4 linked regions of the Canis lupus familiaris genome follow. The protein of the gene in region 1 binds, or shares a complex with, the protein of each later gene. Links are inferred from orthologs where the notes say so. Each region holds a gene or a part of one and is shown in the gene's direction. Other genes may lie near its edges. The genes, in order: POLR3C, POLR3E, POLR3K and POLR3G.

Region 1 (7,884 bases):
CAGTTTGGGCTTCACATTATCTCACAATAGGACAGTCAAGTGAGGTAGAAGATTCTGCTGTGTTTTGAAAATAATTTTAAGTTACCCAAAAATACACAATGCCATTTACCCAATCATATGTAAACTGAAATCCTAAGGGTTTTAAAGCATGTAATAGGGCAGCCCCGGTGGCTCAGCGGTTTAAGCGCCACCTTCAGTCCAGGGCGTGATCCTGGAGTCCCGGGATCAAGTCCCACATCAGGCTCCCTGCATGGAGCCTGCTTCTCCCTCTGCCTGTGTATCTGCCTCTCTCTCTCTCTGTGTCTCTCATGAATAAATAAATAAAATCTTAAAAAAAATAAAATAAAATAAAATAAAATAAAGCATGTAATAAGTCAAATTCTCTTTACTAAAATTATTTTCACTGTAAATAGGAAAATACTTTTCAATAAGAGAAAGAAATTCCTAATCAATAGTTACTTCTAGAATAGAGAGTCTTTTTTTTTTTTCTTTTTCTTTTTTTTTTAATTGGAGGCAGGGGAGAGGTAGACTCCCTGGCTGAGTAGGGAGCCCAACACAGGACTCCATCCCAGGACCCCTAGGATCATGGCCTGAGCCAAAGGTAGATGATTAACCAACTAAGCCACCCATGTGCCCAACAGATTCTTTTTTGATGTCTAATGATAACAGTAATGGTAACAGTACCACTAAATATATTTTCATTCTAAAATTCTCTTCTTGCTTGATTTCTCATTTCTTTGTATCTTTATTCTAATGACTCTCTTGTTCTCTTATCTAGGAGGATCCAAACCAAAGACACACAAAGTTAAAATGGATGGATCAGGATTTAGCAGTAAGACGTGTTACTTCACCAAATTAATTCAACTGAATTTGGCTTAATCTACATAGCATTAGGTGTACTCTCTCTCAGAAGTTATAACCAAAATTATTTTTTTTAATACAGACATTAAGGTTAGTTGGGCATGTAAATCTTTCAGAGTAGTACTGACAAGAAAAACAATAAACAGCAACCTAAGGAGAGTTTCAGGGCTGAACCACTGGGTAAGCTATTGCTATTGCCTGCACACACTTCCAAACATATCAAGAAGGGCTATACACTAGAATTGAGGAAGAAATAAGAGTTCCAAAACCTTGCATCTTAATCCCAGTGAACAGCACTATGATTCTATGGGGGAATAAACTGGTAAAAGATGAGATGGCTCTGAAGGAAGCAGTCCTTTCCACTGACGGAGTCAAGAAACCCACCTAGCAAAAGCTCATTAAAAGCTGACAGTAAAACTCAATACTCCACCTCTGGTGTTCAGAGTTCTTGTGATCCAACTAGCACAAGAGTAAGCACCCTTTTGAGATGCAAATTAAATCAAAACAAAGAAAAATTAATTCCAGATAACCTGGGTTGGCTACCCTCAAAAAGACATCTGGTTTCCCATAACATTTGTCCAATTCAAGAAACAATGAATGCCTACTGTACACTGAGAACTTATAGTGAAGGAATCTCAAGTTCACATAAATTACTTTCATAAAACTTTCAACATTTTCCTATATGTATGAAAATCATATTACTGACTTTCCAGGGTTTGAGTTGGTTTTTCAATAGCAGTCAGATTTGTCCTGAACCAGATACTTACTGACCTGATCATTCTTACAACGAACATGTTCAAGGTGACAGCTTAGGCTTAAGGATCTAGAAATGGCCATGAAACATGAAACTTACTGGCTCATATATGAATCAAAATTATAATCTTGACCTCATTGCACCTTTTCCTAAAAATGCATGACAACAATGATTTTACTAAATATTTCCTCCTTCTCCCTCAATTTACTCTTTTCTACAGCAGTCTGTGCTATTCTCAATTTGAATTCTACCTATCCTTCAAAACTCAATTTAAATCCTATCTGAACTGTAACTTCTTCCCTGCACATCACCAATGCTACCGTATCCCTCTCTCACTAAACTCTTAACCACATACTATATCCACCCTATTCATGTATATTGTTTCTTTTTCCATGTTTGTCTTGTCTTTCCGACATAATTATGAGGTCCTTGAGGGCAGAAACCATATATTCCTTGGTATTGTCTCCAGGACCTTCAGATGAGAACCTTGTATGTATGCAGTATTCAACTTAGACATCAGGTATGACAGATAATAAACAATACTAAAAAGATCAAGAACTTCTCTTGGGATGCCTGGGTGGCTCAGTGGTTAAGCGTCTGCCTTCGGCTCAGGGTGTGATCCCAAGGCAGGGGATGGAGTCCACATTGGGATCCCTGCATGGAGCCTGCTTCTCCCTCTGCCTATGTCTCTGCCTCTCTCTGTGTCTCTCATGAATAAATAAATAAAATCTTTAAAAAAAAAAAAAGAACTTCTCTGGGCATTAAACTAAGGCTTATAAAAAACTCCTACCACATCTTTCAAACTATCCCTTTTCAAGAGCACGAAGTGGGGACTTGAGATGTTAAGAAGATATAATAAGTTGTGAAAAGTTAGACTTATTTTTAAAGGCAAAGTGAATAGCACTTAAAGATCAGAAGACTGCAATGTTCAACAGGGCATCACATTCAGCATGTCACTAGTTACACAAGTACTGGCTGAATTCAAGACCCTCCTCTCTGTGGTTAAAGAGAGTTCTGGAGGCTCTACTGTCCACTAGCAAAAGAAAAAACAAAAACAAACAAACAAAAAAACAAAAAACAAGACACCAAGGCACCTGCTCTTCTTAGCACTGAAACATGGCAAAAAAACCTGCACACACACAGAGCTGAACCAGCAGGCAAAAGTAACATAGCACATAGATGAAACTATGACCCTGGATGGGGTGGGGCAAATGGAAAGAAAATGCCCTAAAAGCATGAAAAAGCACAACTTTTGGTGAAGAAGCTAAAATACCATTGAGGCATGTATTCACTAGACTCCATTTGTGTTTCTAGAAACTAAGACAGGGATCCCTGGGTGGCGCAGCGGTTTGGCGCCTGCCTTTGGCCCAGGGCGCGATCCTGGAGACCCAGGATCGAGTCCCACGTCGGGCTCCCGGTGCATGGAGCCTGCTTCTCCCTCTGCCTATGTCTCTGCCTCTCTCTCTCTCTCTCTCTGTGACTATCATAAACAAATAAAAATTAAAAAAAAATTAAAAACTAAGACATGCATGCAGACACATTTAGTAGGATTTCTCACAGGCTGTATCTGAGACACAGTAAATACAGAGGTGGGTTGTTATATAGCCCCCCTGTCTTAAGGCTGAGGCTGGATAGTTCCAAGAAAAAGAACAACCATAACTAATTCTAAAGATGGCTGGCCAAGGGTAGAGTCTACATTCACTCTTGTGGGTCTCCCTGTAGTAGCTTATAACCCAACACACAAGAGCTGGGTTTGGAGGGTTGTAGCTGGCTAGCCTGCTGTAGAAGCACATTCTTCACAACGATTGCACCACTCTCCAGGGGCTAACAGACAATCTGGCAGAAACTGGTGAAAACCAATCTTATGTCAGAGGAGCCAGTCCCCAGCATTCTATCATGGGTCTTTTTATTAAGTGAAGAGACAGAATCGGGGAACGGGGCGGGGAAGGGAGGTGATGCTAAAACACGGGCAGCAGGACAACATGTCCTGACTTCTTCCTAAAGCCATTTCCTTCAATAGTGATAGGACGGACAAGGCAGTCTGCAAGTCATTAGCACACTTGTTTTCACTTTCACAAGAACCCTGGAAACCACTGAGGAGCAAAATCCTCACCTCCCCACAGTTACCTTCCAACCCTCTCTCTCTCCGCGCTTTCTTCCTTCCTTCCCTAGAGACAAGCGAACAGGGACAACCCTCAGCAATCCGCTATTTGGCTCCCCTGGGGATTGGGGGGCGGGGGTGTCCGATTAAAAGTGAAAAAGGCCGTAGAGGAAGGTGAGAAGTGCAGAAGATATCGAGAGGGGGGAAAGAGAGGTCATTGTGGGATAGAGACAAGGTAAGAAAGAGTGAAAGAAAACTAAGGGGAGAGTTGTCAGAACTTGCTGCGAGAGGAAAAAAAGATGAAGCGACGCAGGTGAAGGGCCGGGTGGGAGCGAGGGGCAGGTGGAACATCCGAAGGGGAAAAGGGCTGGGCGGGAGCTCTGGAGCCAGGGCCGGGACGCCCAGGATTTGGGGCCGGAGACCAGAAAACAGCGGGCAGCGGGCATTTGGAAGGCTGGTGTCAGAAAAATCCGGGCTGTGCGGGGCGTTGAAGACCCCTTCGGGGACTGCGGGGCGAAGGATCCCCGCGGATGCCCAAGCGCAGGGGCCACGGGGCTCTTACCGGTAGTTTGGGGCTGACCTCGCCCTTGCAAAAGTGGCAGAAAAACCGGTGCGCGGCGACAGCGGCGCCTGCGCCCGCGCCAGCCGCGGAGGCCTCCGCCATCTTTCTCTTCCGCCGCGGCCGTCCGAGAGGGCAGCGGCCCGTCCCCCGCCAGGCCGCTACCTCCGGGCTGCGGTCGTCGCCTCGGCCGCCGCCGCTTCCTAAGTGCGGCGGGCCGCCGGAGGCCGCGTCGGTCACGTGAGTCGGCCGGGCCCAGCGAGCCGGCGGCGCGGACGGCGACCCCGCGGCCCGCCTCCCGGCACCAAAGAGGCGCAGGAAGGAGAGTCCGCCCGCCGCAGCCTGCCCGCCGGCTCCTCAGACAGCGGCTCGCCGGTCCTCCAGCTTTCCAGCGAGAGGAAAGAAAGAGCGTCACCGGAAACCACCGAAACTCCGGGGTAGAGCGGCACGCGTGGTTCCCCTTTCCCTCCTCCTGGCTGCCCGTCCGCCTGCGAGGGAGGGCCGTGGGCTCCCCCTCTGCCCCGGCGGCCGGTGGGACCCGCAAGAAGCCGCATTGTTAGATTGCGTTGACCCCGAGGTTAGTGGAAAATGCTCCCCTGACGAAGCGGCCCTGTCTGTGGACCAGGGGACCGAGTCTGGAACGGGGACCTGCGTGAAGGGAGTGAAGAGCCGGGAGCTAAGTAGGCTCCCTGGAAGTCCTGTTGCAGGATGGGACAGGGTCCGGGATGCTTCCCCAAGCACATGCGGATGGGAATATAGAGCTGAGAGGCGGAGACTTGGCCTCTGGGGATTTGGGAGACTAACTGAACAACTCGATGCTTGGTAGCCCTTGGGATAATAAGTAATTATACTTTAGGGTCAGCTGTGTCTGTTTCTGTGTATGTTTACTTTCTCAAGGAGTAGAAATTTCAGAATTAAATACTGCCTTTCAGACAACATACTTCATCTCCTGTTTGAAACACCCAGTTGAGAAGCTTTCCTTTGCCTCCTTTTCTTCTTCTAAGTTGTCATTTCCTTTATGGACTGAGGTGACACTACCTGTTCATTCCCAACGGCCGTGAACAGTGGCCTTAATTCTTCCAAGCAATGGAGTATTGAATCTAAAGTCCGTGACATCGCAAAATCATCTACACCCAACTTTTAAAGAAAATTAGAATCACTCATAATCCCATTAAAGTAAATTTGACATATAGTCTTCCAGTCTTTTTTTCTATGCATTTTTCTTGCGGTTTTGTTTGTTTGTTTTTCATTATGATTTAATTGTCCTCTACGTTTTGCTTTGTGACCTGCTTCTTTCACTTAAGGAACAATTTTCTATGTTCATATGTATTATACTTTGTTTTAAATGGTGGCTAGTATTCCAATGTATGGGTATGCCATCATTTATTGAGTTAATTCCTATTGTTAGACATTCAGTTGTTTCCAGCATATCAGTATAATAAGGGAAATTACAGTGACTTTTATTTTCTTGAGACAGTATCTAAAATGAAATTTTTTAAAGATATACTGTTAAAATTGCCATCTAGAAAGTACACGAATTTGCACTACTTCCAACAAAAGAGGAAAACTATCCATCATATGGCCTTTTTTCCCTCTAGCTCTGAGACTTCTCAGTACAATGACTCAAGCAGAAATTAAACTTTGCTCTTTGTTGCTACAAGAGCATTTTGGAGAGATTGTAGAAAAAATTGGAGTCCACCTAATCAGGACTGGCAGCCAGCCACTAAGAGTAATTGCCCATGACACAGGAACATCACTGGATCAGGTATGTGTGGACGGCATTAATTTGCTTTCATTCTTTATCTACCTTTAAATATTATTCCTCCCCACCCCACAAAACAAAAAAAGAGAGAAAGTCTGCCCTAGGATCAGAACAGTGTTATTTGGGGAATGAGGGGGGGATAAGATGTAGGCCTCAAGGTTCTGCTCTCAAGGTATTCCTGGTTCATCATGGCTTCTTAGGCAAATCTTTGCTCCTAATATGCTACACCTTGCTTATTCATAATAAGTCTATTAATCTCAGTGCTACCTTTAAGGAATAAGAATAACGGAGGGGAAGTACATTGTACTTCGAAAGGTTTTTTTGTTTTGTTTTTAGAGAGAAGCTGTGCACACACACACATATTCCGGCTAGGGTGAGAAAGAATCTGAAGCAGGCTCCACCCTCAGCCTTTGTCTTGATGTAGGGGCTCTATGTCAAAACCCTGAGATCATGACCTGAGCTGAAATCAAGAGTCAGATGCTTAACCAACTGAACCACCCAGGTGCCCCACATTATACTTTGAATGATCAGAGGAAATGAGTGTCAGAGGGAGGAATCTTACTGTTTTCTTCCATTCACATGTGATTCTTTTTTTTTTTTTTTTAAGATTTTATTTATTTGACAGAAAGCACAAGCAGGGGGAGTGGGAGACGGAGAAGCAGGCTCCCCGCTGAGCAGGGGGCCCCATAAGGGACTCAATACCAAGACCCAGGGATCACAACCCCAGCCAAAGGCAGACGCTCAATCTCTGAGCCACCAGGTGCCCCTTGACATGTGATTCTCAATAGCTTATCCAAATGGAGGGAGGGAAGAAGCACAGAGATCCTTAGCCAGCTCTTAGTAAATTATTAGACAAAAATTGGCAACAAAAATGAGCTATGACTTCAGATCTTTTCTTTCTTTCTTTTGCGTCCTATCTAGGTAAAAAAAGCCCTCTGTGTGCTTATCCAACATAACCTGGTGATATATCAAGTGCACAAACGTGGTGTAGTGGAGTATGAAGCCCAGTGCAGCCGCGTATTGCGAATGCTTAGGTATCCCCGGTACATCTATACTGCCAAAACACTGTACAGTGACACCGGAGAACTCATTGTTGAGGAGCTGCTATTGAATGGCAAAATGACAATGTCAGCTGTTGTGAAGAAAGTGGCAGACCGGCTCACAGAGACTATGGAGGGTTAGTACTGTACTCATAGCTGTTAGCAAAAGCGTAGATTGGCTGGCTGCAGGACTGGAACTTCAGCTAACTTAGGCAATCTCATCTGCCACTTTCATCCTGTTGTACAGATGGCAAGACCATGGACTATGCTGAGGTATCAAACACATTTGTGCGACTAGCAGACACACACTTTGTACAGCGTTGCCCCTGGGTGCCTGCCACTGAGAATTCAGACCCAGGGCCACTGCCACCTGCCCCCATTCTTGTGATCAGTGAAAAGGACATGTACCTGGTTCCAAAACTGAGCTTGATCGGTAAGGAATTTTGACCCCTGAAACTATGATTTGCCCTGGTTGTGGATTCTTCTTCAAAGATTGTTAAATTAGTGAATGAATCGATCAAGCAGTTACCAAATATTTACTCTATGCCAGATACTGTGGTGTAAAATGAAAAAACAAGTCCCTGACCTTTTGGGGCTTAAGACTAATATAAAAAAGACTTGAGTTACATTACTCAAATAATCAGATAGATGTATAACTAAGAAACTGATTAGTACTATGAATGAAAAGTATGAGATGTTATGAAAATATGTAACAGGGAACCAAATTTTTCAGGATTTAGAGCACACGCTTCTCTGAGAAAGTAGCAGTTGAGCTAAGATTTGAAACAGAAGCAGGAACTAACCAGT
Region 2 (7,430 bases), on another chromosome or scaffold:
CTGTCCCCAGTGGTACAGAGTTGTCCCAGCTCCAGGCTCACATCCTCCCAGCTTCCAAGACCCCAGGGGAAAAGAAACTTCTTTCTCATTACTTCTAACTAAAGTCCCAGACTGGACTCATTGGCTTGGCCAACCCTGAACCAGCCCCTGTGGCTAAGAGGACTTGGTGCTCGGATTGTCCAGGTCTGAGTCACGTGCCCACTCCTGTGGCTGGGAATGTGTGTGGGGGTGGGGGCAGGGGAGGGATATCTGCTCCCCTGAACTGAGGGGGACCTGGGCATTTCCCCAAAGAAAATGGGGGTCCTGTTACCAGGGGCAGTGGAAATGGATTGGGCACTGGGCAGGCAGGAGCAAAAGAAAGCTGCTCCCTGGCCTGTGTCAGCAAGTCACAGAGAGGGATGTGGTTGGAACTGAATTTAAGAGATCTGTGTCGGGAAATGGGGAGGTGGGAGTGGTGTGGGGCTCTCCGGTGTCCCTGGTGACTTGGGACAGCAGCCCAGGATGGGTCCCGGGCCTGAGGCCACGCCCCCCTCCCAGGTGCGGTTCTCGCGTCCAGAGTCCGAGCAGGCCCGCCAGCGCCGTGTGCAGTCCTACGAGTTCCTGCAGAAGAAGCATGCTGAAGAGCCCTGGGTGCACCTGCACTACTATGGCCTGAGGGTGAGCCAGGGTCCCTGAGGTGCGGGCCTGGGAGAGAAGCCCGGGGCTCTGTGTGGCCTCAGTGGCTCATCTTGAACTGGTTTCGTGTTCAGTGAGGGCCACTTGGTGGTAGGCCAGCAAGAGGGGATAAAGTCTGGTGGACAGCTGGTCCACTTAGCATGTGTCCCGGGGGGAGCAGGAGATTGGGAAACGAGTCGGCTGTTTCCTGGGTCAGGGATTTTGACATCCCTTAGGCTCTCAATGTGAGCATCTTGCCACCCCCTGGGTGGGGCTTACTTAGCTTTATGCATCATGGATCCTGAATGAAGGTGCTCCGTGGAGAACCGGCCCTCGGCCACTGGCTGAGTTCACCGTGTATCTGCCAGGCATGCTTTTTACTAGGTTTCCATCTCGTGTGCTGGCTTAGAACCTAATCCTTGAAGCTGCATCAAGTAAGGGAAGCAATTGAGCTGAACCCAAAGATGCCCTAGGCCTCCCCAACATTTTTCTAGTGGGGGGCAGGGAACAGCAACTCCTGATCTCTGGAACCTCCTAAAAGAGATTGGTGTTGGCAGAGCCTTAGAATCGGACATCGAAAGCTCTGCCATTTCCTAGTGTGTGGCTTTAGGCAAATTACCTCATGAGGTAAGTTGATGTGTATATGAAGCCATTGGACTTAGCCTGGCATGTAGTAGGTGCTCAGTGGCTGTTAGCTGTTACTTTGTCATTGCTGTTAATGGTCCTATGGTAATGGTCACAGGCAGGGCACCTAGGACATGGCTGCTGGGCCTGCTCAGTTGTAAAGCTGGAAATGGTTGGTTGAGGCCACACCACAGAGGCCTTGAATGCCATGCTCAGGTGGTTGAATATGATCCTCTGGCTGGCCGTGTGGCAGGACAGTAGGCGGCTGGAGTGGAAGGTGATGCAGGGGTAAGAACTGGAGTGCAAAGGATCTTAGGGGGGTGGTGCAGGCCTGGAGTGGTAGCTGAGGGTCTTCCCACCCTGCCCCTTCCCCCACAGGACAGCCGCTCTGAGCATGAGCGCCAGTACCTGCTGTGCCAGGGTTCCAGTGGGGTTGAGAACACAGAGCTCGTCAAGTCACCCAGGTGGGACCGGCTGGGCCAGGGTCTTAAGCTACCGAGCCTACCACTGGCCCTGGGGGTGCCCTTCAGTGTGGGGGCCTTCCTAGGGATTGTGGCCCCTTCTGTAGCAGGGGAAATGGACATGGGAGGGGGCCCTCCCTCTGGAGAGGGCCGGGGGGTGGGTGTGGAAAGAGGTTGTCGTCCTTTCTCTGCAAGTTGTGGGGGAGCTAGGTCTTGGTGGGTGTGGGTCTGCCACCTACCCCCAGCCCTCCTTTGGGAGGCCTCAGCCTTGGTGGGGTCTGGGTTTGTGGGCAAGGGTGGAGCAGGCAGAGCCCAGGAGCGGCTGACCCTGCCCTCTCCCCCACTGCAGTGAGTACCTCATGATGCTGATGCCACCCAGCCCAGAAGAGGAGAAGTGAGTAGAGTTGGGCCAGATGCCACCCTCCCCACCCCAAATCTTTCCTCTTACCCTCTCCTCTAACCCACTGTCTCTGTTTTCACCAGAGACAAACCCGTGGCCCCCAGCAACGTCCTGTCCATGGCCCAGCTGCGCACCTTGCCCCTGGCTGATCAGATCAAGATCTTGATGAAGAATGGTGGGTGGACACCCACTTCCTCCAGGGGGAACCCAGCCCTACCACCTCCTGGGGAAATGGACTCTAGGACAGACTAAGGACTCAGCATGGGCCTGGCTTGACGGCTCTGGCCTTGCCTAGAAGGAATGCACCACAGTGGCCTGTTGGGCTCCCTCAGCAGGCTCTGATTCCTGTTCTCGTTCTGGCTGGGCCACTGCCCTGCTGTGAGCCTGGGCAGGCCACTGATGTTCCCGAGACTAGGGAACTAGGATAGCTCCTGAGGGCGGAGATGAGGCTTCTTCATGGCTTCTACAGAGCCTTGCACGTGAACATGAGCTCCATTCGTTCCCTTGCACTGTTTTGTGGTACCTGCACCAGGCTGCACCCAGTAGGGACTGGTGTCTTTCAGAGGACTTGGGGGCCAGAACCTGTAGGGTAGGGTGAGTCCTGAACCTCAGAGCTTAATCCCAGGCCCTGGGCTCCTTTCCTGAGATACCACTTCTAGGATCTCCAGGTGCCTGAGCAGAGGCGAGCTCCCAGCTCTGCCTGGGGCTGCTGGGGTGCCAGGCCACTGCCCTCGCTGCCAACAGGCCTTCCCCGGGCCCTTTTTGGGCCCCAGGAGTCATGGTCTTACCTTTTTTTTTTTCTGAGTACACTCCACACCAAACATGGGACTTGAACTCATGACCCTGAGATCAAGAGTCACGACTTTACCAGCTGAGCCAGGCACCCCGTAGTAGTCTTACCTTTAAGGAGCACCCCTTGGGGTGTTTCCTCCAGAATTCAGTAAGGTGGGGTGCCCACACAAGCAGCCAGTGAAGTCAGCTCTTATTATTACCCATGTGTCAGTGTTATTCACACGCTGGAGTGGTTACATGAGCCTGAAGCTGTATAGACTTGGTGAGGGAGAAGGAAGGGCCCCTTCGCTTGTCTGACATCTGTGTCCTCCTCAGTGAAGGTCATGCCTTTTGCCAACTTGATGAGCCTCCTAGGCCCCTCCATCGACTCTGTGGCTGTTCTGCGTGGCATCCAGAAGGTGGCGATGCTGGTCCAGGGAAACTGGGTGGTGAAGAGGTGAGTTCCTCTGCATGGGACCATCTGATGCATTTCAGTTCGTGATTACTGATGTTTTGGGTTTAAGTCTACCATAGCACTGGTTGTCCTGCATTTTATATCCATTCTTACCTGCTACTTGATCCTTTTTTGTTACTCCATTTCTCCCTGCTAATTTAGAAGTTACCCTTTCTGGGTTCTTTTAGTGAGTAGCCTACAGATTCAGAGTGCATTCATAACTGATCATAGTTATATTAATGGCTGTATTTTATTCTTATCCAGTACAATTCAGAGACCTTAGAATGCTTTCTGTTTATCTTCCTCTCAACTCATGTGCCATTGTATTTCTATTTTTTTATTTCTATATTTTTAATTGTAGTTTAAAATCCACAAGATGTTATTTTATCCAGTCAGTGTTCTTCAGATTTCACATATTTTCTTTTTGATTTTGCTTATCATCCCTTTCTGCATCTGAGTTTCTATCTGGGATAATTACCTCCTGCCAAAAATTGCCGGGGTGTTCCCTTAAAGAAGATCTGCAGGGGGGAGGAGTTACTTGGGTATTGTTTGGTTGCAAATATCTATTCCACCTTTATTGATTGTTTGTTTTAAGATTTTATTTATTTATTCATGAGAGACCGAGAGAGAGGCAGAGACACAGGCAGAGGGAGAAGCAGGCTCCATGCAGGGAGCCCAATATGGGACTCGATCCCAGGTCTCCAGGATCACGCCCTGGTGCTAAACCGCTGAGCCACTGTGGCTGCCCTTCACCTTTATTGTTAAAAGATATTTTTCTTGAGTGTAGGATTCGAGGTTGATGGTTTCCCTTCCACACACTGACATAGTTTCATTGTGTTCTCATTCCCATTGTTTCTAGTGATGAGTCCCTTGGTCCCCTCTGGCTCTTTCTGAGATTTTCTCTTATTGTGGCTTTCCACAGTTCATTAAGATGCATCTGAGTGTGAGTTTTGTTTCATGTGTCCCGTGGGGTTTGGAGCATGTGGCTTGATGCCTTTCAGTAGTTTCTCTTCTGTGACCCTTCCACCAGACCATTATTTTCAAGAGGGATGGGGGTAGTAGGGACTTCTATTTTGACCCCTACCTTGTGTCCCTGACACTCAGTATAATGCTTAGCATATCTCAGACCCTTGGTAGTAAGTGTAGGTGCATTTCATGTATGTCTGAATTATGTTTTTATTTTTATTTTTTAAAAAATATTTGTGTATTCATGACAGACAGAGAGAGAGAGAGGCAGAGACACAGGTAGAGGGAGAAGCAGGCTCTATGCAGGGAACCCAACGTGAGACTTAATCCCGGGTCTCCAGGATCACACCCCAGGCCGAAGGCGGCGCTAAACCGCTGAGTCACTGGGGGTGCCCTGAATTATATTTATTTTAAATAGTGTGACATTAGGTACACTAGTAAGGGCTCACTTTTTAGAAGGTGTGGTGTAAGGTGAACAATCTCTTTAAAAATTTGTTCCAAATTTTTTAACTCCTTGCAGAAGCTCCTGTCATTTCAGCTGGTTGGCCAAGTGAATTGTAGAGTCTGTTCACGTTACTGCCACCTGGTGGCGCCCTTGCACTGGTAAACTTGTCCAGTGTCTGTCAGTAGTTGGAGCTGTTGTGCCACACACGTGTTTGATTATGGAAGGTCTTTGGATGTTGGATGGCACATCCCTCATTAAGTGGGACCACCCAGGTATATTTACGTTACGAATGGGTGAGAGCCAGGAGGGGCCGTCCCCTCACTCAAGGACACTGACCCAGAGAGGCAGACACTTGCCAAACATCTGGCAGCAAGGTGGTCCCGGAGCTGGGGTTTGAGCTCTTGGCCCAGCAGTGCCTGTGGCCCTGGTGCTTCTGCCCTTTCAGCCTGGGGTCCATCCCTGTAACCTGGACATGGGGCCTCTGGGGCTGTGTGTTTTCTGGCTCCCCGGTTCTTCGGCTCCTGCTGCAAGCCCTCACTGCCATGCTGTGGCCTGTGGGTGGCGCCCCTTTCTTGCCGTGTCCCTTCTGTTTCTGTGTGGAGGTGATGCAAAATTTACACATTGTTCACGAACTATGTCGTGATTGCTTGTTCTGTGTCCTGTGCTCCACTGTCATTCCTACACTGTCCCTGCCCTTGGGAATTGTGTGGGGCAGAGATGGGCACCATTACAGATGAGCCCAGGGCACGCACCACGTTTATCCATTTGTTCAGTACCTACCTAGCAGCTCCCTTCTCTGTGTGGCAGTGATGAGCAACATAAGCCATGTCCCTGTCCCCAAAGAGTGTTTCTGGGATGGGAGTGGACACAGAGCTCGACCTTAAAGGAAGGGTATTAGTTGGTTGCCAGGTAGGATTGAGGAGGGCAGGAGTGAAGTCTCCTAGCAGAAGGAGGGGGCAGGAGAGCAGAGGCACCCCAGGCATAGGATGGTCTGGGGTGGTGTGAGTGTGACAGCGTCTGTGGCCGAAGTTGGTCAAGGTTATACTCGTAAGCCTCAGCACCCTGTGCCCCCAGGCCCTGAAGTTCTCTAGGCTTGCCTGGTGGTTCCCTTCTCTCCAGAGGCTTCCGCCCCACTCATGCCTCAGGGCCCATCCAAGTCCCATCCAGGTCCCAGCCCCTGACCCCTCTTGCTCCCACTCACACTGCCTGCCCGTCCCTTCCAGCAGGTGGTGAAGGCCTCGTGTCCTGCTTTCCAGCCCAGTCTCTCCAGGCCTCACAGCTGCCTTGCCTGTGGGACTCACTGTCTCAGGCTGGCCTGTTTCTGAGCCCCTGTCCTCCCTGACTGCGGTGGCTCTCAGGCTAGGCTAATGTGTGCATGCAAAGTCAAGAAGGGTTGACAGGAGGAACTCTTGGGGGAGGGGGTTGTTTTAAGAGTGCTGCTTTTCTACAGACATGTTCACAGAGCCAGGCTCCGGGAAGCCCCAACGGAAGCTGCACTGGCCGGTGTTGGAGAGGCCTGGGCTGGGCTGGGCTGGGGCACAGGCACTGCGGGAGGCAGAAGGGCTGAGGAATGGGACTGACCTGTTGCTCCTGCTCTCATTGGCAGTGACATCCTGTATCCCAAGGACTCCTCCAGCCCTCACAGCGGCGTGCCTGCCGAGGTGCTCTGCCGGGGTCGAGACTTTGTTGTAAGTGCTCAGTGCTCTGCCCTTTGCTTGGTCAGGCAGGGTCATGGGAGGGGGTTGGGGCCAGTGCAGGGCTTTTGGAATCTTAGCTTGGGCAGTGGGAGAAGAGCAGGTATGTGTGGCCAGGCCAGGGGCAGAGCTCTGGACCCTGTTTTCTTTGTCCTTCAACTCAGAATCCTGGAGTCTTGGGCTTTGCAAGAACACGGGAGTTCTCTGGCCTGGGGATTACAAACCAGAGGCCATAGGTGGACTCTGGTACAAACCAGATTTCTGGCTCATTATGAATGCTTGTGGACAGTCTGGTACCATGGGCCCAAATCCCTGAATAGTTCTGGCTTTGGGTGGGGCTGACAGTCGTGTTCTCCATAGTCCCGGGAGGCCTGCTTCTCTTCTACCTGTTCCTGCATTATTGCTGTGGGTTTTTGCGACTCCTCAGTTAGCTCATTCCTCCAGTCCATTGCCCTGCCTCATGCCCTGCCCTTATCCAGGACCTGAGTCCTGGCCAGGGTATCCCTCTCATAGGTTTGAACCCCGGCTGCTGGATTTGCACTGCCTCCCATGAGGGAGTTCACAAAGTTCAGCTTTGTGCTTTGAACTTGGGGACCTCGGTCTCCTAGGCTGTCCACAGTGACCATGACATGTTCATGCAGCCCTTGAGCTGTTCAAAAAGAGTGCGAGCATCTTTTCCCAATTGGATGTCCCAGCTTCTCTGGACAGATAGTATCTAGGTGCAGATGCAGTTTATTTTTGTCTCGGAGTCAAAGTGCAGTGGATACTTTATCCTGGGCTTGTTGGCCGAAGCACACGTGCCATCTGCCACTGCCTGCCAGCTGTTCTCTGTTCGTGCGGACACTGCCAAAGCGGGGCCTGGGAGAGGGTCTAGTCAAACCTGAGTTCTTAGTGGGGAAATCCCAGGCTTCCAGGACAATTACAGGGGCCTGGAGGATGGTCTTATCAGTGATCCGTCTTT
Region 3 (7,919 bases), on another chromosome or scaffold:
GTGATTTGCAGAAGGTATGTGTGGAGCCTCACCTGAGACTTGGGAGGGTATTAAAAAAAAAAAAAAAAAAGGTAGGAACAGCTTGTGTCTGGGAAGGTGAGGAGTGGCAGTGGCCATCGTCTCACGGACCTAGGTCGTGCCAGCAGGCAGCCTCTCACCTTCCCACACACTGCCCTCCTCTGGCTCTAGGAAGCCCCGCTCTACCACTGGTGAGCAGTACTCACACTGCCCCCATGCCTCCCATTCCAGTAGGGAGAGCCCTCAGGAACCTCCCTGCAGGAGGGTGTTGGTTGAGCCAGGGACTCTCTTGGTCTTGCAAATTCTCCAGTGATTGATTTAAGACTCCTCCTCCCTCGGAAGAGGCCCCAGTCTTCTGGCAGAGCCTGGGTACTAAAGGGCAACAGACCAGGTGCCTCTCTGCAGCTCAAAATGTGGTGTGAACTTACTCTCGAAGCTTCTTCCTGTCCTCTGTGAGCTTCTCTCCTGCAGAGGTCAGGTAGTAGGTCCTCCACACATAGGACCTGCAAAATCCAGATGAGGATCTGGGTAAACCACAAGCAGGGTGATTGGGCAGCTGGGACGCAGCAGCTGTGTGTGAGATGGGCTCGGGATGCTCAGCTCTGGGGGGCCCAGGGCAGGCAGCCTCTTCTTGGCTTGTCCTGTACCCTGTACACACCAGGCCCGAGGTAGCTCGAAAGAGGCACCGCTCTGAAAGAGCCGTGTGGGGTGGCTGGGGGCCAAACACACCTTCCTAATGAAATAGGCTACAGCACGGAGACAGAGACGACCCATGCTGCAGGAGTGAGGAGACCACCCAGGGGAAGATGGGGTAGGGCCGCTGGCAGCTGCACCGTCTGTAACCAAGGAGACCACTTACGCTGGAAATGCTCCAAGGTGCCCCCATTTAAGAAGCCCAGTTGCCTGGGTGAGGTGATGTAGATGAAAGAGAACTGAGGCAGGACTCCCAGGCACCGTGGCACCCACCGCGCCGGGACGCTCAGGACAGGGAACTCCTCGGTGCTCTGTGGCACACATGCAACAGTGGCTCCACTTACCAGCTGATGTGCTGAATGCCCCCTTCACGCTCCTGCCTGAGCTGCACGTATCTCTGAATGGCCTTCTTCAGGTCCAGGACTGTGGCGTTCTGCACCACAACCACAGCTGCGGGAGAAGAGCCATGTTAGGATCCACAGCCACAGCCTAGGACGGCAGGAAAGGAACCAGAAGCTCTGTCCAGACTGTTTTGGACGGAGGCTCAAATTCAGGTGGGGTAGGCTTGTGGTTGCCCCGATGCCCTTCGACGTACATGGCTCTTGAGTTTCCCCTGAGCAGCCATGGCAGCGTCTTGTCTGCGTGACAGCTTGGACTGCAGGGTCCGCAGGGAGAGGGCGAGCACTTACGCATTATCTCTCCATCCATCTTGCACACGCGGACTGTCATCGCTTGGCCATATTCTAGTGCTATCTGGGAATTGACTTCTTCCAAAGTAACCTGCAGAAAGACCAATGGTGGAGGTGGGAGCCTTGGCTGCCTTTGCTATCCCAAACCACAAGACAAGACAAGCGGATAGCATCGGAAAAGCAGTGCCGTATCTTACGAAAGACGAGAGACAAGATTTCTTACTTCTATGCTAGGGTTTCCCGGTTGCACCTACATTTTAAAAGTGTTTAATGTGCAAAGTGCATTAAAGCTCAGGAAAAGAGGAGCGCTGAAACAGGAGAGGGTGAGCGCCAGATCTGGGCTCTGGGGCTGGGAAGGAGGAGGCGCGGTCAGTCCGGGATCCAGGGCGACACCGGGCGGGGGGGGGAGGGGAGGCCGGTGTGCGAGGGTGACCGGGGCGCCCAACCCAGGAGTGAACGTCCTCGGGCGGGGCGCGAATCTCGATGCGGAGTCCCGGGGTGGAGCCGTTCTCCCCACTTGAGCCTCAACTACGGAAACGACCTTAGAACCTGCACCTGCAGCGCAGCCGCGCCCGGGGCGCCCGGGGCGCCGTCGGGGTCCGCCTTGGGACCGGACGACCGTCCGCCTGTCCCTGTCCCCTGCTGCCCCCGCTCGTGCTCGGGTCAGTGAGGTCCTTAAAGGACACGGGAGAATCGAGGCCCGCCGCATCGTCACCTCTGGCGCCCACAGGGGGAGGTCAGGCACCGAGGTCCCGCCGCGCACCTGGATCGGGAGGTCGCAGAGCAGCGGGTCCTGCACCACCATGGCGAGCCCCTCCTGGAACACGTCCACCGCCTCGGAGTGCGGCAGCGCCTCCTCTTCATCCTCCTCGGCCTCGGGCGCCTCGGGCCGCGCCGCCGCCGCCTCCGCCTCGGCCTCGGCCTCCGCCGGCTCCAGGGCGCCCGCCCAGCCCCGCGCTCCGACCGCGCCGCCGCCGCTTCCGGCCGCGAGGGGCGGGGCTGCCACGGGGACCGATGGGAGGCTCGAGGCGGCCTGCCGCAGGGGCTGCTGGGAGCGCCAACCCGGCCCGGCCATTGGGGCGGCGGCGGCCCGGGCCAATGGGAGCTCGCGACGGGCCCGACGCCGGCGCCCCGCGGCCGCAGGGGCTGCCGGGAGCGCGCGGGGCAGCCATGCTGCTCTTCTGTCCGGGCTGCGGGAACGGGCTGATCGTGGAGGAGGGACAGCGCTGCCACCGCTTCGCCTGCAACACCTGCCCCTACGTGCACAACATCACGCGCAAGGTGATCACCCGCCGCCCCCCGCCCAGCAGCCGACGCCCGCCCCGCCGGGGTGCTCCAGCGGCCCCGCCCCCGCCCCCCGCCGTATCGGGAGCGGCCTGGCCTCACCCGGCTCCCGTGGCGGCGTCCCCGGCGGCGGCCCGGGCGGCCTCGTCGGAGCCGTGGCCGGATCAGGCCCGCCCTGTGCGCTGGCGCGGCTGACTGCGGGTCCGGGCCGACGCCGCCAGCCCCCGGGGAGCAGCCCGCGCCGCGCACCGACACGGCCGCCGGGCCTTTGCACGTGCTCCCGCTGCCCTCCCCGCCCCGCCCGCAGCCTCGCCGTGTTTGGGTCGTGCCGAGCAGCGTGGCTCTGGCGGACTCGGGTCACCTGCGGACACGCCTCTACGGGACTTGCGTGCCTGGGGTCGGTGCTGCGGCCCCAACCCGGGCCCTGGACGGAGCCGCGGCGCACCGCCCGCCCCGAGCTGCCCGCGGGAGTTGGGGCCGCCGCCGCGACGCCCGGGACGGAGCCGGGGGCCTGCGCGGAGGGCCCGGGCCGAGCGTGGACGGGGTGGGGTGGGGGGTCCCGGCTGCATCCGCCTCTTGGGCCGGCCCGACGCTGGAGCCCCTGGACCCGGGCCGAGCCCTGCGCCGCGGGTGTAGAGACGCGGCTGCCCAGGATCGTGCAGCCCGCGGGGAGGAGGGCAGTCGGCGGCCGGGTCAGCACCGCGCCCCTACCCGCGGCCTGAACACCTGCCGCCTTTCGCCAGGTCACCAACCGGAAGTACCCGAAGCTGAAAGAAGTGGACGATGTGCTCGGCGGCGCGGCGGCCTGGGAGAACGTGGACTCCACCGCAGGTGAGAGCTGAGGCCGCGCTGCCTTTGAGGAAGGAAGCTCCTAAAAATAGCGTGTGTATTTTCTTCTTTAGTGATTTATTTCTTACACAGGCAATATTGGCATAAACCCCAGAGACGTACAGGTGTGGGTTAGTCTCAAAGCCACAGCCTCTTAACATCGCATGACCTTGGTGGCCTCCCTCCGTTGTGAGAGCGTGAAGGGAGCCCCGCAGCACTTGGCCTCTAGCGTGGTCCTCAAGTGGCGGCTGTGCGGGGAGCAACCGATGGCAGTAATGAAAGTCGGAGCCTAAGGAAGAGTATATGGTCCATTTGTTCAGTTGTGGATCTTTTTTAAAATTAATTATCTCTAAAAAATATTTTATTTATGTATTCATGAGAGACGCAGAGACAGAGACACAGGCAGAGGGAGAAGCAGGCCCCATACAGGAGCCCGATGTGGGACTCGATCCTGGGACCCCCCGGGGTCACACCCTGAGCAGAAGGCAGATGCTCAACCACTGAGCCACCCAGGGATCCCTGGTGTAGATTTTTATTTTTAATTAATTAATTTATTCATTCATTCGTTTGTTTGTTTGTTTATTTATTTATTTATTTATTTATTTATTTTTCTTCCTGGTGTAGATTTTTAAAAGCTGATGGCAGAGAGCATTCACATGTTTATTTCAAGTCTTGTTTCCTGTCTGATAGAGGTAGATGTGACCAGGGAAGGAAAGAAGAGAGCCCTAAACACATCTGTGTTGAGCGGAGGAAGACCCAACTCCTGTTTAGTATTATCTTTTCTCCCCCATAGAAGAACATCTAAATCTGATATGGTAAAATTAGCATTGGCAGAATTTGCCAGGAAAGAAAAGAAGATGATTTTGGTACCTAATGTTCAAAGTGCTGTTTGTGAGTGTTTGAAGGCATTATCAAGCATAGGGTCAGTTTCCCGAACTGAAGTCACTTTGCCTTGAGGTATTTGGCAAAGGTGTGGGTTGTATGGTGAGGTCTTCATAAGAACGGCCTGAGGAACTGCTGCCGAGATGGATCCCTAAATTTAATGGGAAGTGGATTTGTCATCCCCTGGGGGCTCCTCCAGGAAGTTGAGAGGGCTTAGGTGATGGAGATGCACTTGGAAGAATCTGCCCAGAGTGGACCCCATCATGCACATGGTAGCCATAAGCCACATTTCATGTCACATTTCCAGCTAGTCTTCAACCAGATTTGAGAAGAAAAATGGGACTCAGGGAGGGGAGCAGGAGTGTTTTCCAGGGTCACAAGTCCCCTCAGTGTGAGAGTGTAGTGGGAATGATGCCACTAATTACAGCCTTTCAGTCATGGCGCAAGGTGCCCTAGGCAGGGGATGCCAGATGATTGGGGTCGGGGAGGGATTTGGTGTGTTAATACCTACCTACTTCTAGCAGGTGTGTTTGGTCATGAGCATAATGTGGGTCACTTGTTTTTCTCGTTGCCAGAGTCATGTCCTAAATGCGAACATCCTCGTGCCTATTTCATGCAGCTTCAGACTCGCTCTGCAGACGAGCCGATGACCACCTTCTACAAGTGCTGCAATGCTCAGTGTGGACACCGCTGGAGGGACTAGGGCCAGGATCCAGCTGTGTCATTGTCTGCCTACCTTGTTCCCTAGGGTGGATTCACAGCCAGGAGTGTGAACTGTTTGTCCTGAACTGTCTCTGCTGATGTGGCCAAAAGCTAACCCTTTCACGGGAGCTGGTCAGGGTACCAGCCCATCTGGCAGTCAGCGGATGAGCTCATTTATATCCAGGGGGATTGTGTGTGCAGGGAAGGGTATACATAAGTAAGTGTGTTCTTTTTAATATCCTGTTTGTGGATCTTGTAGGTATATTGGCTAATTGACATCTTTTCACCATTATCCTTCTTAAATATGCACTCTGATTGCACAACTAATAAAGTAAAATGTTATAATGTAGGACATTAGATGTATCTAAGTATTTAACTTAATTGTAAACTTATCACTATCTATTCTGAATATTTAATTAAAATGGAAAGTCTAATACTGCTTTTCTAGTGTTTATTTTTTTTTAATTTTTTGCCAAGAAGTATATTTTATTTTCGTTAATCATACAAATAATTTGCTATAATATCCCAGGGTAAACTGCAGAGTTTGGCAGTCTGACTGGGGCGGGGTGGGGGCTGGGGGGCGGCCCTCAGAGACCTGCAGGCTGGCAGCCTTCAGCGTGGAGTGCCTGGGTTCACAGCACAGCTTGTCACTCGTGGCCATCTCGCAGGTGGCTCTTCCTCTACATCACGACCCGGGTGTCTCGAAGATGTTGTGGGTGGGGAACCCTCTAGATGCTTAGGAAATTTTATTCCGTTTCTACTGCTCGATGGTCTCTGGTTGGCAGGGTGTTCTCCAGCGTCTCCATTTTCTTTAGCTTGGCCTTATCGAAGCTGGCGATTTCCCCCGTGTCCAGTTTGCTATTTCTTAAAGCGATCTGTGGAGTTCCACCCCGAGTCCAGTGCTGGGTCCTCCCACTCGTGTTGCTGCAGCAAGAGACCGCTTTCTCATTGTTTTGAGTGCTTTGAGAAGCAGACATCAAACAACTGCCATGCTTAGGGCTCTCCTGGTAACAGAATACTGATAACATGCTTTTCAATTTATCATTCTGTTCTTGTTTCCTAGGATTGCAATAAATTTATTAGGTAGACTATATTTATGCTTCCTTCATTTAAAAAAAAAAAAAACTTATTTATTTATTCATGAGAGAGAGAGAGAGGCACACAGGCAGAGGGAGAAACTGGCTCCATGCCGGGAGCCTGATGTGGGTCTCGATCCCTGGTGTCCAGGATCAGGCCCTGGGCTGAAGGCGGTGCTAAACCGCTGAAACACCTGGGCTGCCCTTCATCTTTTTATTAGTAAAAGGAAAAGGACATCCTGGACTGGAGCGGGGTAGGATGTTAGTTTGTGGATAGTTTCGTTTTTTGCTCAGGACCTCAGACCTAATTACTTTTCTAAATCTCTTAATAATGAAGTCTCACTTGTGAAATCATGGGATGCAAATTTATACCTCTGATAGAAATTTTTACATTTTTGAGACGGTATCTTTTCCAGACATGAATAATCTTTAAGTTTGGCACGATGGTGATGGTTTGTTTGTTTTTAAGTAGGCTCCACATTGGAGCCCAATGCAGGGCTTGAACTCATGACCCTGAGATTAAGAAGTGAGCTGAGATCAAGTCAGGTGCTGAACTGACAGCTACCCAGGTGCCCCAACATGATGGCTTTCTTTTGCCGTAACATGTAGATCAGGTTCTGAGCTCATCATCTCTTGGTTTGGTTATTTTCCAAAACAGTTTGTTATGGTGATGATGAAATTTTACAATGTGGGTGTTTCCTTTAGTATGTTCTGTTTATGCCATCAATTGGTTGATGTGTGCATGTGTGCACTGTCAGTTTTATTTCCTCAGATTTTTTTTTTTTTAAGATTTTATTTATTTATTCATGAGATACACAGAGAGAGGGAGAGAGAGGCAGAGACACAGGCAGAGGGAGAAGCAGGCTCCCTGCAGGGAGCCCGACGTGGGACTCAATCCCAGGACTCCAGGATGATGCCCTGAGCCAATGGCAGGCGCTAAACCGCTGAGCCACCCAGGGATCCCCTCCTCAGATTTTCTGTGTTTGCTGTTGGTCAGTGGTGAAGATCATGCACTCTGAAGTTAGCCTACATCTCTGCTTCTCAGCTGGGAGACCTCAGTCAAATTGCCAAACCTCTGCCTTCATTTCCTCACATATAAAGTGGTGATAACAATTTCAGGGGTCAAACTTTCTGAAAAGGGCCAAATGGTAAATATTTTATTTATTTATTTTTTAAATTATTTATTTATTCATGAGAGAGAGAGAGAGGCAGAGACACAGGCAGAGGGAGAAGCAGGCTCCATGCAGGGAACCCGATGTGGGACTCGATCCCGGGACTCTGGGATCTCTGAAGGCAGATACTCAACCACTGAGCAACCCAGGCATCCCAGATGGTAAATATTTTAGACTTTCGTGAGTCAAGACTCAAAATCTAGAACAAACTTTCACAACTTTTTGATAGATAAAATTCAGAATGTAATCATAGTAATTGAGTACAGCATTTTGTAATGCGGGGTCTGTTGAAAATAATGGATATCGGGGTGCCTGGGTGGCTCAGTTGGGTGTCTGCCTTCAGCTCAGTGTGTGATCCCAGAGTCCTGAGATCAAGCCCCATGTTGGGCTCCCTGCTCCCCATCCCCCCACCTTGCTATCTCTCTCAAATAAACAAATCTTTAAAAAAAAAAAAAAAAAAGAATGGATATCATTTTGCTTAACCTGGGGTTCAAAGTGAGCATTTCTTATCAAACTAGATTGCAAATATGCATCTGTTAACGCTGGTTAAGTGCAAGAGAGCAAATGAAGTTAAC
Region 4 (7,430 bases), on another chromosome or scaffold:
GATTGAACAGAGTCTTACTGTTTTTAAAGCTTCCCGGAAAGAAGTTGCTAAGATGACTTGTGCAATAAGGAAGATTGATCTGATGTGGTTTCTCATCAGAACAAATTGTGTTTCCCGATTTTCTACACTTGAACACCTTTTTCGTTTTGCACATTGTTAAAACTGGAGTTTTAAATCTGGAAATCTAAATGAGTTAGCTTTATTTTCTCTCAGTTAAAGAGCAAAATTAGCATCTCGCTGACTGTTATTGTTCTTCAGCAAAAGTAGTTGCAAGTTTTATTGTAATAAAACGTCTGTGGGTGGAGAGGAAGGGAACAGTCAAATCTCATGATTAATGTGTGAATAATCAGACAGCAGTAAACTAATATTTGAGCTTTTATCTGCTTGACTTAGAAGAAGCTGTCTCTACAGGGTGGCTGCTTATTATTTAAACTGGAAGAATTGTTCCCTCTCTATAAATTAACTGTTTGCAAAGTGTTTCCACGATGTGTTAATCACATTGTTCTGTAAGATAGTGCCAGTATATAGTTAAATCTCACAGAGAAGAAAATGGAGACTAATAAGTAGATAAGCCAAAACTAGTTGCTAAGTGCAAAAAGAAAAAAGTAATAAGACAATATGTGTGGCTCTGAGATCATTTTTTTTAATTGCATAAATCTGCTATGGTTAACTGATTTAAGTATTTTATGGATTTGATTTGGGTCTTTGTGATACAAATAAAGTTGTTTATTTAAAAATATTTGAGGTGACAGTAATGGAAATAAAGACTTCCTAGTCCTACAGAGCAGTGAATGATTTTTATATTTTGAAAACATATTCCATAACTGGTTAAATAAGTTTATTGTTAATTATGAAATAATAGCTAATAGGATTTTTCAGATACAGTATATACCTTGCACAGTGCATTTAAAGTGTACTTAATAAATACAGCACTATGATTCTCTTTTAACTACACAAAATTTGTGGGTTGTAGGCCTCTTTACTGCAATTTGATTAAAATAAAAAAGAAAAAAGTCCATATGTTAATATTGGTGTAGCATCATTCTGTGTGGGTATGTGTATATATATATTTATAGACACTTTAGAAGATCTATAAACACTATTTTGTTTACTTGCAATTTCCCAAAGGGATTATCAGTTAGAAAAACTGCACACAGTATATTGTAGTAATAACTCATATAAGGCAGCATAGGTCAGTGTGAAGATAAATCATCTTATGTCTACATTACCTTGACTTTATTTGTTCTGCCTCAGTGGAGTGAAGTACGAAAGGTGAAACTTGAATTTTGGTTAGAAATTGAATCTATCTGATGTAGTGTTTTTATTGCCTTTGATCTCCTTAAATTCAAACTTGAATGTAATTAAAGAGATTTTAAAAATAAATATTTAAGAGCCAATAAAGGAATCGCGAAGTTGTAGTCACTCCAGATACAAAATGTGTTTTCTCTCTATATGTAGTCTACAAAGCAAATATAATAGGATGGAGCATTTGCAGCTATATGAACTAACGTTCTGATTATTGTTTAAGAATAATCATATCTTAGCTAAAGTGATCCTGTGCTTTAAGTATGAGTATTAATATATGAAATTATTGTTGTATCCACTCCTATAAAGCTTGTGGAATTCTCTCACTCGTGCAAATTAAGCATAGATCAATTTAGTGAATGGATAGTGACAGTAATGAAAACAGACCCTTTTTTATCAAAGGGAAAGAAATGTTGGTAGTCATAGAAATTTAAAGATGTAACTGTAAAGTTAAATTTGTTACGAGAAAGTAGCAGTGATTTTAACAGTGAATAAGTGAAGCCATCAAGCAATCAAGGTTTCCTAACAACATCTCTCTTTTGCCTCCTGAGTTGCTAGGAAGTGCTAATGTTGACAGTGGTTTTATTTTCTTTTTTTTTAAGATTTTATTTATTTTATTCGAGACAGAAAGAAAGAGAGTGAGCACACAGCTAGGGCTGGGAGCAGAGGGAGAGGAGAGGGAGAAGAGACTCCTGGCTGAGCAGGGAGCCTGATGTGGCGCTCTATCCCAGAACCCTGGGATCATGACCTGAGCCAAAGGTAGACGCTTAACCAACTGAGCCACTCAGGTGCCTGACAGTGGTTTTAACTGTTATTTGTTTGTTTTGTTTTTAGCAAAGATTAAAGTTTTAATCTCTTTCTCTTCAATCTGCCAGATATGTTAAGAAGTAAAAATTCCTGGAAATAAGTAAATAATGAAGGAGAACAGAGAGAAAGATGGGGATAATCTGCAAGCAGGATAATCCACACCAAATGATTATGTATTAATTGTTTTAAATGATCTCTCTTTGGGGCACCTGGGCGGCTCAGTGGTTGAGCATCTGCCTTTGGCTCTCAGGTTGTGATCCTGGGGTCCAAGGATCAAGTCCCATATCGGGCTCCTTGTGGGGATCCTGCTTCTCCCTCTACCTGTGTCTCTGCCTCTCTCTCTCTCTCTCTGTATATATCTCTCATGAATAAATAAATAAAATCTTTAAAAAAAAATTCTCTCTCTTATAAACTAAAACATAGGAGCAGGAGCACCTGGCAGGCTCAGTTGGTAGAGCATGGGACTCTGGATATTAGGGTTGTGAGTTCAAGTCCCAGGATGGGCATAGAAGTTAGTAAATAAATAAATAAATAAATAAATAAATAAATAAATAAATAAATAAAATTTTAAAATGTAGATATTTTTGAAATGTTACCGTTATATTTTCTTTTCTCCTTTCATATTGAAAAGATAACAAAGTAGCATTCTGAAAGTTTCTCTCTATAAACTAAATCAACATTTTAGAAGAAGGTAGGATAGAAACCATAAAAATAAGTCATTGTGCTTAGAGCCGATACCCAACAATACCTGAGACCTAATTATAAAGTAACAAAATCAATGAAAATACTAGTATAATGACAGGACAGAGAGTTCCTCCTTTCTTGAGTGAATTCACAGTTTCCTAGGTAGTGGTCTGGAGGATTAGAATAAGGTTATAGGTAACTGTTTTCTTGAGGCTAAGCAGGGAGGTCAAAGTGTAGTGGTTTCCATTTAAATTAATGAAGTTCATTTATACCAGGAATTGGAAAAGAGAGGTGATGGTGAAAAATCAGATGAGGAAAATGAAGAGAAAGAAGGAAGCAAAGAGAAAAGTAAAGAAGGTGATGAGGAGGAGGACGATGATGCTGCAGAACAAGAGGAATATGATGAAGAAGAGCAAGAAGAGGTAATGGTTTATTTGGGGTGGGTAACAAAGTTACAAAGTTTACGGATTATCTAATAAGGAATTGGATATATGTTATATAATTAAATTAACAAACCAAAACCAAGTCAATGGCAATGAAGGATATGTTATTATCCCTGGTATCAGTTCCTTAGTTCAAGAGAATTATTATAGCATTGAAATAATGATACCAAACTGAATATAGGAAGTGAGAATAAGTTGATAGGCAACCCTAAGTGGAAGTCCATAAGTGAAACAAATTGATTGATTATTTTAAGATTTATCTACATAAAAATTTAAATATGCCATTACTGTAATTAAGGACTTAGTCATTTAGGGTGTGAAGAGGAAATCCTTGGAATATCATCATGTTTCAAGCCCCAAAGTTCATATGGACCCTGCCAGAGAACAGTTATGATCTAACCTCAAGTATTTGACTGAGTTAGGACTTAGTAGTTTGGATTTGGGATTTCTAACTTCTAGAAACATGCATGGTGCATTTCAAAATAAGCTAGAGCAAATAAGGATATTTTTGAGCAGGGTAACTTTGTTGGTCACAGCATCTTTGGGACTTAGTAGATACCTCATGCAGTAACCCTAGTTTCTTTCTCCTTTCTTCTCCATGGCAGTGAACTTTGTCTTCACTCCATTTTAGCCTCTCACAGGACAATGAATCTTTACTTTACCTGAAACTGCTATAACTATGAAATCGTTATTATTCATTTACATTAAATTTGGTTTGTTTTAGAATTTACATTAGTGTAAAGGGAGAGGTACAGATCCATTTTTATCTATTTCCAAATGGCTAGCCAGCTGCTAACCTCATTTATTAAATAAATTGCTTTCTTCATTGATTTGAAATTCCCCTGTATCAGCTATTAGATTTCCCACTTCTATTTAGATATATTTCTGGGACCTGATTTTTGAACTATCACTCTGCTGTTCCAATTAACAGAAGCTTCTGATTATTTGTTAATGTTTCTAGGGAGAATTTTCCTGAGTATTCTTTATTCTTCCAGATAAGTTTTAAACATTTTAAAACTAAACATGTCTTATTGTCTCCAACTTTCTTTCCAGATCATTCACTTTTTTATCCCTGCACTCTGATGTGATTGAGACTGCCAGACCTCTGATTCTCTATTTCCTCTTTACTAGTTCCCTGTCTCAATTTCCTTCCCTAAGGGGCCTAGACCCTTGCTCACCCTTAAGTGCTTCCTTGCCATTACTCTCATCCCTTGTCCTCTCAGCACATCCTTGAGAACAAGGTAACCTTTGATCAATTCCACTGTCTCCCCTCCAAACCACCTATTGAACTTTTCTGAGGAGTCACAGAAACTGATGCCACAAAAACAATACTCACTAGCCACTGTTGGCTGGCTCACATGCTGGTTTCTCTGTTTCTCTTATCAAGTCATTTGTCTACATCAGTTTAGATCATCCCTTTTCTTCGTAATCCCTCTCCTTGACTGCCTTTCTTAGTAGATAATACCTTCATACAGAAAATGAAGCCATATAGAAGGAACTCCCCTAATTTCATGTCATCTGCCTTCAAACTAAATGTCTTTCTTCCTCCCCCTTCATTTTCAGTGGAAGAAGTAGCCTTCATTTTATTTGGAGCTAATTGTCTGGCCTTTGGGGGATCTATAATCCTTATATCCCTTCCTTTTTTCATATTTTCAGGGTTTTTACCTACTACTTACTGCTTCCATTCATGCATTAAAATATGTTCATCTTTCATTATAAAGTATGTTGCCCACATTCTCTTCCAGGTGTCCTGGTATCTCCTGGAAAGCCGCTTAGCTGGCTTCACTTGCTCACTCCTCCCTACCCTCCTCCATTTAGTTCTTTTTAATGTGATTTCCATGTACATGCCATTGAAATTATTGCCACCAAGTTCACCAATAGACAAATTTTAGTCCTTATTTCACTTTTCTGCAACATTTAACACTGCTCACAACTTCATTATTAAAATATTATTTCCTTTATTTAAATTCAACAGTTTAAGGCAATTATGGCATCAACTATATGCCAGGCATTGTGCTGCATGCCAAGACATAGGCAAACATTGTTCCTTTTCTTGCTTTTTGTGACACAACACTTCTTGTTTTTCTCCTATTTCTGGTACTTTTTCATGGTCTCTTTTGAGTTCTTCTCTTTCTAATCTTTAAATGTCAGTATTCTTCAGACTTCTTTGCTTGGATTTCCTTTTCTCTCTGCAATCTCCCTGACTGCATCCCTAGCCAAAATTTCAGTTGCCCTGTATATACACCTATTAGTCCTCATTTTTCTTCATTCACCGTATAATAATTGTACACCAAGCGTATGCTTGGAATTGTACTAGGCAAGGGAAATATCAAGATAGATACAGTTCTCTCATCAGGGATATGGGTATAGTGAGGAGACATACTAGAAAGGAGACCCTTACAATACATTGAATAATGCTATAGTGTAATATAGTAGAGGATGCCATAGGGGTACGTAAGAGGGGCACCAAGCTCCGTTTTAGTGATATGAAAAAGATATCTCACAGAAGACAGTCTGAAGACTTAATCAGATCAAGATGAGAAATGGATGGGAAGAGACTTGCAGATAGAGGAAAGAGCACGGAGAAGTTTTGCAGGTGATGAGAGTGTAGCCTAACAGTGTGGACCAGGTAAGTCAATGTGGCTGGACTAGAGAGTCCAAGTGGGAGTATGTGGAGATGTGAAGCGGAAGAGACAAATACAGGATCTTAAATACCAGGCTGAGCAATAGGACTTTATCCTGCGGGCTATGAGGAGCCTTTGGAGCCTTTGAAGGGTTTAAAGCAGTGGAGTGATTTTATCAAATATTTGTATATTAGAAACCTTGGTTGCTTGGATTGGAAGGAGCCATGGTTAAATCATGCTTGAAAGCTTGTTGCTATGAACCAGTGATTCTCAACCAAGGTATATTTGGTAATATCTGGAAACATTTTTGGTTGTCCCAACTGGTCTTAGGGGTTGTGCCATGCTATTGTCTTTGAGTAGGTAGTGGCCTGTTTTCTAGACGAGACTGGCTTTTGGAATGCTCTGTTTATAAAGTCTGCTTGAGGTCTAGTAATTTCAGAATTCCATGTTAGGCTTTAGCAGAGTACTAAGCACAGTTTATATAAATGTATTTCATTCAAAACAAACAAACAAAACCTTTCCACTTTAATAAAGGATATAGGTTTTGGGTATGAGGCTGGGTGAGAGATGGAGAGGGAAGCTCAGTTAAAGACTTTCTAGATTTAAAATCATCTTGGCCCTTTTTAGCAATTAATGAAAAATTCATATTAACTAACTTACTGGACATATTGAGAATTTGATAAGCATTATTTTTGAAGAGTAAATGGAACAAATTATCTATGTAACACCTCTATGTAAAATGAGAGAAATGCAGACTTTTTCTTTCTTCGGTCTTTTGAATAATGTAATTAAAGAAAAAAGCAAGGGTTCAAATGAAAGCCAAGAACCATTTAAGCCATCAGTTTCAAGAAGTTCTCACTTTGTACCTGCATCAAGATTATTAACATCATGAAATTACCTAAGGTGAATGACTGAACATACTTGGAGGTGCTCACATCTGAAGCATAAGTTGTATATGCTTGATTTGGAATAGTGAGGTAACCTTCCAATCTCATTTACAAGATGATCTCATTTGAACTCTCAGCCATGCCACCCCTCCTCTGTACACTAGCTCCAGGCTACAGCCAGGCTTCTAGATGTTACTGGATTTCTCGGCACCAGAGAAACCACGCCATCTTCCTAGAGATGCTATGGAAACTTACTGGATACAGAAACTTACAGTGTTTAGGGAAGACAAAGTAATGAAATCTACATCTGAATAATATATCTTGCATTATTTATATAAATTTATATATTAAAAAATCCCACCATGCAGATACTAAAAAAGCTGATATCCAGATGACCTTTTCAGAATAGTCTCTATTTCTTACTCTATCATAATTCCTGCTATAGAGAGCAGAGATGTAGAGATTAATTTTTTTATGGCAGATTTCAATGATGAATAAAAATCTAGTGATGAGTAAAATAAAAAAAACATAGACTTTATCACCCAGCTTTAACAATCATCAATTTATAGCCAGTCTTTCAACCACTCATTCATTCACCCAATCCACTCTCACTTCCATTCCCCATCCACCTTGGATTATTATAAAAAGCAAATCCTAGACATTGTATCATTTCATCCATA

The links.
Region 2: POLR3C (region 1) and POLR3E share a complex: the UniProt entries of both Homo sapiens proteins name them as parts of the RNA polymerase III complex. The link is inferred for Canis lupus familiaris from reciprocal best matches to the Homo sapiens genes POLR3C and POLR3E.
Region 3: POLR3C (region 1) and POLR3K share a complex: the UniProt entries of both Homo sapiens proteins name them as parts of the RNA polymerase III complex. The link is inferred for Canis lupus familiaris from reciprocal best matches to the Homo sapiens genes POLR3C and POLR3K.
Region 4: POLR3C (region 1) and POLR3G share a complex: the UniProt entries of both Homo sapiens proteins name them as parts of the RNA polymerase III complex. The link is inferred for Canis lupus familiaris from reciprocal best matches to the Homo sapiens genes POLR3C and POLR3G.

What each region holds. Positions count from the first base shown.
Region 1 is NC_049238.1:59,287,552-59,295,435, forward strand, and holds the start of POLR3C (DNA-directed RNA polymerase III subunit RPC3), read left to right. Parts: upstream 1-3,820; 5' UTR 3,821-3,951; intron 3,952-4,278; coding exon of another isoform or gene 4,279-4,380; exon of another isoform or gene 4,381-4,469; intron 4,470-4,718; exon of another isoform or gene 4,719-4,852; intron 4,853-5,873; 5' UTR 5,874-5,893; coding exon 5,894-6,040; intron 6,041-6,958; coding exon 6,959-7,214; intron 7,215-7,324; coding exon 7,325-7,510; intron 7,511-7,884. Other genes in the region: E3 ubiquitin-protein ligase RNF115, read right to left, coding at 4,279-4,380. UniProt on the Homo sapiens protein: DNA-dependent RNA polymerase catalyzes the transcription of DNA into RNA using the four ribonucleoside triphosphates as substrates.
Region 2 is NC_049227.1:23,568,362-23,575,791, reverse strand, and holds part of POLR3E (DNA-directed RNA polymerase III subunit RPC5), read left to right. Parts: intron 1-537; coding exon 538-657; intron 658-1,656; coding exon 1,657-1,742; intron 1,743-2,088; coding exon 2,089-2,133; intron 2,134-2,222; coding exon 2,223-2,314; intron 2,315-3,246; coding exon 3,247-3,367; intron 3,368-6,381; coding exon 6,382-6,463; intron 6,464-7,430. UniProt on the Homo sapiens protein: DNA-dependent RNA polymerase catalyzes the transcription of DNA into RNA using the four ribonucleoside triphosphates as substrates.
Region 3 is NC_049227.1:40,885,192-40,893,110, forward strand, and holds POLR3K (DNA-directed RNA polymerase III subunit RPC10), read left to right. Parts: upstream 1-2,521; 5' UTR 2,522-2,570; coding exon 2,571-2,681; intron 2,682-3,427; coding exon 3,428-3,515; intron 3,516-4,969; coding exon 4,970-5,097; 3' UTR 5,098-5,535; downstream 5,536-7,919. Other genes in the region: SNRNP25 (U11/U12 small nuclear ribonucleoprotein 25 kDa protein), read right to left, coding at 447-521, 1,056-1,161, 1,401-1,491, 2,164-2,205. UniProt on the Homo sapiens protein: Core component of RNA polymerase III (Pol III) which synthesizes small non-coding RNAs using the four ribonucleoside triphosphates as substrates. Can mediate Pol I proofreading of the nascent RNA transcript.
Region 4 is NC_049224.1:18,563,574-18,571,003, reverse strand, and holds part of POLR3G (DNA-directed RNA polymerase III subunit RPC7), read left to right. Parts: intron 1-3,071; coding exon 3,072-3,218; intron 3,219-7,430. UniProt on the Homo sapiens protein: DNA-dependent RNA polymerase catalyzes the transcription of DNA into RNA using the four ribonucleoside triphosphates as substrates.